2 linked regions of the Nothobranchius furzeri genome follow. The protein of the gene in region 1 interacts with the protein of each later gene in a pairwise test. Links are inferred from orthologs where the notes say so. Each region holds a gene or a part of one and is shown on either strand. Other genes may lie near its edges.

Evidence for each region. The genes of interacting proteins can lie anywhere in the genome.
Region 2: the proteins of filamin-C (region 1) and myoz1a interact in a two-hybrid assay, tested with the Homo sapiens proteins (2 studies listed by BioGRID and IntAct). The link is inferred for Nothobranchius furzeri from reciprocal best matches to the Homo sapiens genes FLNC and MYOZ1.

The regions. Positions count from the first base shown.
Region 1 is NC_091744.1:62,143,152-62,146,715, reverse strand, and holds part of filamin-C, read right to left. Parts: coding exon 3,560-3,564; intron 3,471-3,559; coding exon 3,393-3,470; intron 3,299-3,392; coding exon 3,136-3,298; intron 2,469-3,135; coding exon 2,268-2,468; intron 2,103-2,267; coding exon 1,986-2,102; intron 1,395-1,985; coding exon 1,257-1,394; intron 1,072-1,256; coding exon 945-1,071; intron 708-944; coding exon 571-707; intron 460-570; coding exon 266-459; intron 198-265; coding exon 84-197; intron 1-83.
Region 2 is NC_091752.1:26,534,098-26,538,284, reverse strand, and holds the start of myoz1a (myozenin-1a), read right to left. Parts: upstream 2,859-4,187; 5' UTR 2,631-2,858; intron 1,026-2,630; 5' UTR 1,024-1,025; coding exon 939-1,023; intron 1-938. UniProt on the Homo sapiens protein: Myozenins may serve as intracellular binding proteins involved in linking Z-disk proteins such as alpha-actinin, gamma-filamin, TCAP/telethonin, LDB3/ZASP and localizing calcineurin signaling to the sarcomere.

The DNA of each region.
Region 1 (3,564 bases):
TGCTCTGTGCAGCTTCATGCAATATAAATGGTTTATTCCTATAAATAAAGAATGAAGACTCTACAAACTTGTCCAGCTCATACCTGAGCGTAGATCTTGAGATGACCCTTGCCAGCCATGCGGGCATCAATGGTGAATTCAGTCGGTTTGTTTACAGTGACACCAGTCGGCAGCAAGCCTGGCCCGTAGGCTTTTACCTGTGAAAAATCTGTTTAGATTGCTGCTAAAAAAAATATTTTTCCAAACAAAAATAACTGGAAATTACTTTCTCAGGGAAGACACCATTTACAGCTGGCAGAATGTGAGCCATGAAAGGACTATCCTTGATGTCTTCGTCATCACAGATGACATGGACAGCGTAGTCACCAGGCTCAGTGGGCCAGTAGCGCACATCACAGGAGCCGTCACCCTTATCGTCACACTCAATCTTAGCCTGGGATGGGCCTTCGATGGAAAAGCCTGGAGAGCAAAATCATCACGTTTAACTTTTTAACTGATAGGCTTTATCCTGGTGTGGAAGTTAAAGGGTTAGAAATACAGTTGTTTTATTTCTCTTGTAAAAAATCTCACCCAGAGTTCCAACTTCAGTGCCGATTGCCTCAACCACAAAATCTGCAGATTTTCCCACCATGCCGGTCTTCAGACCAGGACCCCAGGCCCTCACCTTCTGAACGCCAGCTTCTTCACCTACCTCCACCTCAAAGGGGCTGTAACGCACATTAATGTTAGTGGGCATGAATATCAAAAAGAGCAGCTAAAGCCAGGGTTTCTTATACATTTGCCAACACAAAAGTCTTTTTCAAGCACTCATAACAAGATTATTACACTTCCTTGTTACATAGGAGAAAAGGTTGAGCCATAACCAAAACTTATAAAATATCACATTAAATTCTAGCACCTGCAAGGATTTCAAGAACCCTGTGGAGGGGATTTGAGGACCCTACCTGCGCGGAATTGGCTGGCCTCCCCAGGTGATGCTCACTGTGTATTTACCCGCCTTAAGTGGGTAATATTCACATTCATACACTCCATTTCCTGCATCTTGCACTTTCACATGCTCCTCTGCTCCAGCTGAGGAGGAATAATATTGTCAGCACTGATTCTTATCAGCATATCCCGCTTATTTGGTTTGTATACATATGTAAGTAATGCATGTTGACACAAAAGCTAAAACACAGGAAATACTTTTTATTTTTCACTGTACAAAAAGGAGCGAGGACTGATGCAGAGAGGAGAGAGAGAGCTGTCTGACTCACTCGGTCCTTTGACGGAGACGTTTAGTGCACCGCTGCCAGCTCCTTTGGTGAAAACTTTGAAGTCTGCAACCTCCTTCACTCTCACGCCTTTAGGCTGTAGCCCTCTGCCAGTAGCTCTGCAAGCATTTGGGTTTATGGCTACAAGAAAAAAAGTATGAAAGAGAAATTGATTTCAAAGAGCAAAAATAAAGAAATGAAAAAGAAGAGAGTAGCCAGAACTTTACAGAAAAGTTAGTAACTAAATCCACTTCACAAAGGACTCCAGACAGAACCTGCAGATAATCCTTTTAGAAGAACATACTGCAGATACACAACGCTGAACAATTCACAGTGCAGTGCAACAAGGGCACGTCCGACAACATTTCAGTCAGTCAGAAAATGTTGAGGGCAGGCTTTAAACTAAGTGCTGGCTGATGCAAATTTAAACTTCATGAAAAACAAACGTGTCAAAGAGCACAAGCAAAGATATTCAACAGAAAGGATAAAAAGAAACACAAACTGACAGGAAAGCAAACTGGAACAGTCTATATGTACACATCACATCTCGTCTCTCACTGAGCACAACTAAACCATCGAGCAGTAAAAAAGAGCGGAGCAGGCGACCAAGCACGGCATTTTAACCACCAGAACGTCAACTTAAAGCAAACAGGAGCATGTGCAGAGGTCTGGCACAGGAAGGATAGGCACTGGAATGATCCAACAAGCTCCTCCTAACAGATATGTACTAACTTGGACGGCCAGGTTTTGGTGGGGGAGCCCCCTTGCCACCCTTCACTCCCGGAGGGGTGAGCACTGACTGAGGAGCTATTTGCAGTGGCGCTCCCGTGGGAGGAGCAACTGCTGGAGCTAGAAATGACAGATAGGGGTGGTTATGGAGTGGAAAGCGGTGGCTGTTCCTAGGCAAAATAAAGATGGCTGTAGATTGTGATGGATAGATCACCCCGACACTAACAGCACGCTAGGAAATCAGATTTGTCTGACAGTTATTTACAACACAGACAGATGGCTCACCCTCTGCAATGTTGACAGTGTAAGGACTCTTGGGGATCTCCTGGCCTGCAAACAGGATGTGGATTTTGTGAGGGCCTTCCTGCACAGGACAGTAGGTGCAGCGGAAGACACTGTCACCCTTATTCTCCAGGATGAGCTCCACTGTGTCTTTTTTGCCCTGAGGATCAATGATGACCACACTGATGTCACCATGACCAGCACCTGAACAAAATACAGAATCAAGTTCATTCTTAAGCATCAGACTTGTAATAAGTCTATGGATATTTGATATCATCGGTCTACCATTAATATAGGCTGATATCAGCACCAAAATGTATGGTAAAATATCGGTTTTAATTTTAATGGTACAGCGTTTATACACCATACATGTGTTATATATCAAACTCTTCAACTACTTCTCCTCTCCTGAAATGTAAAAAGTTGACAGATCTGTGGTAAAGTTTTGATATTTTAGTTCATGTGACACAACTTGTGAAGTAGGAATTTGCCCTGTGCAGTGAGCGTATGTTGTCCTCACAGCACGTAGCTACATGTAGCTAAACAGCTAACAATATACTAGAACAAAAACAAGAAGTAGCTGTCAGAAAAGGTTTATATTTAAGCATGCACAATCGGAAAAATGTGGTATTAGTAACCTAAAATGTTTTAGCTTTTCTGTTTTTTTATGAGAGGGATATATCGGTATGGAAATTAGGAGTCAAACTATTTGGTGTGTCTGATGTCGATAAAATAAGCCTATATCAACGAGCATTCCTTAAATGTTTGGAGTCTATGACACCATGTGAGGGCTACTAAGATAATTTTGTTTATTTTGAAATAGGAAAACCTCTTTGATCAACAAAGTGGCTGAAGTTTCATCCCAACTCACCAGCTGTATAGATGTCAAAGTAGGTGGGTTTGTTGGCTATGTTGCCTGTTGGATCCAGACCCGGTCCCCTAGCGTGAACTTTACTCGGGTCACCCATCACCTTTGCCACGTTGACAGTGTAGGGGCTCTTATCAGTGTCCTGACCTGCAAACAGCACCTTCACCTAAAGTTGACATAAAAATAAAATATAAGATAAAAAAAATTGGGTTTTAAACCAAGAGTTTATGTTATTCATCGTGGTTGTTTGTTTGTTTTACCTTGTGGACGCCCTCAACCTTTGGAACATAAGTGACAGTGTAGGTTTTGTTTTTGTCCTTGTTGGGTTTAACTTTAGCCTGGGCAATAAGCAGAAGAGTGTTCATTTAGACATGAGACTGTGCAAATCCCTGTGAAGAAGAAATCGAAGGCCCCATTAATGACTTGCCTCCT
Region 2 (4,187 bases), on another chromosome or scaffold:
ATAGGGTGAGAAGCTCGGTCATTCGGGATGGGCTCGGAGTAGACCCGCTGTTCCTCCACATCGAGAGGAGCCAGTTGAGGTAGCTCGGGCATCTGGTCAGGTTGCCTCCTGGACGCCTCCCTGGTGAGGTTTTCCGGGCACGTCCAACCGGGAGGAGACCTAAAGGTAGACCCAGGACACGGTGGAGGGACTATGTCTCTCACCTGGCCAGGGAATGCCTTGGGATTTCCCCGGAGGAGCTGGCCCAAGTGGCTGGGGAAAGGGAAGTCTGGGCCTCTCGCCTTAGGCTACTGCCCCTGCTACCCGACTCCAGAAAAGCAGAAGAAAATGGATGGACATTAAAATATAAAATCCCAACAGGTAGGCTAAAAAAGTCTTAAGTAATCCCACGTGATCTGTTCACAATAGTGCACTGGTTGTTGCAACTGTAGGCCATGAAAAAAAGAGGCATAGTTGTCCGCCCTGCATTGACAAGTGAGTTTGGAAAGTGAGGATCCTACCCAATGTGGCGGCAATGCCACATATGCCTTGAAGCACACGTGTTGTATGGGGGATAAGGAGCCTAAGTCATGCCCATCTACTCCCTGGCTATGTGTCCTCGAAGGAATGAAAAAAGAATGCAAGTCAGCGTGGCTAAAAACTTTATCTTCTAATTCTATTTATTATGTGCCATGGATTTCACATATGATGTCCGTGAACTTTAAAGAGACAATTTGATACCAATTACGCGCTTATTTTTGAATTGGGGGGGGGGGGGGGGGGGGGGGATTTTAGGTTTTGTGTGAAATTATGTCCAGGACTACTAATGCTCAACAACAAAGTGACGTCGTTGAGCACCTATCGCTTTCCACCCATGTATTTCGGTGCAGCATTTATAAGAAAGAGTTGTACTGAGAAATGGTAATTTCATATTTGCATAATTTCACTTCCTGCCTTACCAATCTGGCTGATATGTGATAGGTCAGTTATGATCTTGGAGGGCTTTTTCCGCTTGTTTAGGGGGGCAGGTGTTCCCAGAGGCATGACTGGAGGGTCGGGAAGAAAAATATACAATGTTATTCCCAGGTACAGAAACACAAAACAGCAAACCTGCATTCAGTTTTTTTTCCTCATCAAAAGAGAATATTGTAAATTTAAAGAACATTAACCCTCCCACTGTCCTAATAGGTGTGACCCTGCAGGGAAAGTTGGCCATTGAGCAGAGTTGATGGTTTATTCCTTGGGTCCATGTGGCAGGGTTGAGGAGTGAGCACCACCTCACCCCTGCCACCCCGCGGGGTCACTCATAAAGACAGTGGGAGGGTTAAAACAATAACTTCAAGAAATGTTTCACACTTCTGGATAATTAATGGAAAACGACAAGGTACGAGTTGCAATGTAAAGCCAGAAAAAGGATAAAACTTATTTTTTTCTTAATGAGCTTGCAAAAATTTGCACCGTGTTAAATGAGCTAAAATATGGTGTCTGTGGTATAGAACACACCAGCAGGATGTTTTCGTTTCAGTTCAGAGCTAATTTGCATGAACCTATCAAGATAACTCCACAACACCGACACTCCCACCCAGCATTAATCTCTGAACCTAAATGTACAGACACCTCAGACCCTCCTAATTTTTCATCTTCAGGGTGGGGTGTCGGTGCCCCCGGATTCCCCACATTCCCCCGTGGATGAAATGCCTTCGTCAAAGGAAACCTATAGCTCACTGCTTCAGTTTTGTTTGTTGACACGAGATCTGTAAACAGAAAGAGCCAGCATAAACAGATGGTTTAGACAAATCCTGCTCATCTGCTCTATATTAAAATTAGGCGTCATAATCTCCAGTTTGTGTCTAGTAATGAGGAGAAATCCTTCCCTGCGTCTCAGATGTCAAGTAATGTGCAAGCTTCAAACACATCAGCATCTACTGACACGCTTGGCATGTTGGCAATGAAATGCATCTTTAAATTTGTGGAATTACATCAATATGTTTCTGTTCTTTGACAACTAATATTTGCAGATTCAATCTGGAGATTGTCTTTAAGGCCCAGTCAAGTGGCAAAACATCGCATCCAGTGGCTGTAACTTAACCCACCCCAGCTATTTTTAAAAGCCACTTCCAGCCAAGACATTTTAGCGACACGCAATGGCGTCATTCGAGTGTCAAATGAGCTCAAAAGGACTCTTAAGAGCACAAAACACACCTCCAGAAAAGTGTTAATTACACACGTGTGTCAACAGGATTGAGAGCTGAATTGGGTGATGATAATGAGGATTTCTGAAGCTGTTTTAATTCTGTTAAATAATCCCAAGGCAAGAGAACGGTATGCTCAGATTTACCCCCACCCCCTCTAAGGGTCTGATAACACCGTATTAAACCTCTGCAGCACTAAAAAGAACAGTCAGCACATTTACACTTTCATTACGTGTTTTTAAAACACACACACACACATGGATGTAAAAATTTTCTAATCAGTTTCTATCTTTTTTTTTTTTGCTTGAACAATTTTTTTAATGATTCATCCACTTTATCTGCACATCCCAGTGAATTTCTGATTGTGCAATAAAATAGCCAAATCTTCAAATGTTGTTCACCTTTGCTGTATGCAGAGTTGAAATCAAACGACTGACAACTGTGTTCAGATCCACTCACCGGCTTTCTGTTGTGATCCGGGCGAGGTCAGAAGGAACTATAAATACCAAAACCGTGAGGAAGATATTGATCTTGATCACCGGTGTAGGAATCCCTCAGTGCCTCAGACCCTACGTATGGCTGGACTCAGATCCCGGGAAGTGCAGAACCTACCCAACCCTCGGAGAGGAGATCTTCCAAAAGGTTGGGTGTGTGTGTGGCAGGAATTTTGGTGTCAAGACCAAGAGGAGGAGGAGGAGGCAGAAGTCATTAGAAGTCTCTCTTGGCCAGCTGAAATTGCTGATGGTGATATTAAGGGAACAAAATCATTCTCACAGATGGCTCTAAAGCCTATATTTAGTAGGAATGAATGAGGGGAACAGAACCTAGTCATCAGACAACCTCAACCTCACAGGACTTTTGGTGTGTTCAGGGCACAGAGCAAGACAAGGAGAGGTGTGTGTGAGTGTGTGTGTGTGAGAGTGTGTGTGTGTTTGTGTGTGTGTGTGTGTGTGTGTGTGTGTGTGTGTGTGTGTGTGTGTGTGTGTGTGTGTGTGTGTGTGTGTGTGTGTGTGTGTGTGCGCACTATGGTTAAGGTTAGGGCTAGAGTATGGGTAAGGCATAGTGGAGTCCCAGAAATGAATGGAAGTCAATGGAGGGTCCACACAAGGATACAGAGACAAGTGTGTGTGTGTGTGTGTGTGTGTGTGTGTGTGTGTGTGTGTGTGTGTGTGTGTGTGTGTGTGTGTGTGTGTGTGTGTGTGTACCGGTGTCGGTACAGGATCAGCTTGGGGCCCTTCGACTCGCGATGACGTCAAAGTAGTTGATTAGCTGAACATGAAGCTTACGGAAGTTACGTTATCACGTTATGATTTTGATTGGTCAGAACAAATTTGCGGTCGTAGTCTTAGCGGCTGTAGTCCTGTAGTCCAAAAATCAACACTTTTTGGCGAAAATATGTTTGAATTTCTAAAGGAAATGTAAAATATAAGCAAATGATAAACAGTGACCCTCAAAAGCTCTTGATGTTGATGAAATGGGGCAAAATAAAATACAAGAACTTCATTGATTGACACCAAGCAATGTTTTGAGTCAAATAATGTATTTAGATAACAAGTAAGGAAATATACAGACGAACTCCACATTAATACAAACAGATATGGCTGACATAAGAACTGTTCTATTTTTTGTCAGTCTGATGCTGGTTTTATGCAGTTTCACATTCTTTACAAAACAAAGGTAATATGGTGTTTTATTAACAAATTACAATTGTAAAGAAACATTTAGGTGTTAACCAACAAGAATTTATTAACAAAACTGCTGATGTCTTTCCAAAACGTATGTGTGAAAGCCGAGTAGATTTGCAGTCGTGTGACGTCATCGGCAGTCGAAGGACCCCGAGCCGATCCTGCACCCGAGCAGATCCTGTACCGACACCGGCCTGTACATCAAAGTGAGGACCTAAACAAGTTTTTTACCTGCAAACTGAGGACATTAGAAGCAAAGTGAGGACATTTTGCTGGTACTCACTTTGGGACAATGTTACAGAGCTTTACTGGTTAGTTTTAGAGGTGTGAT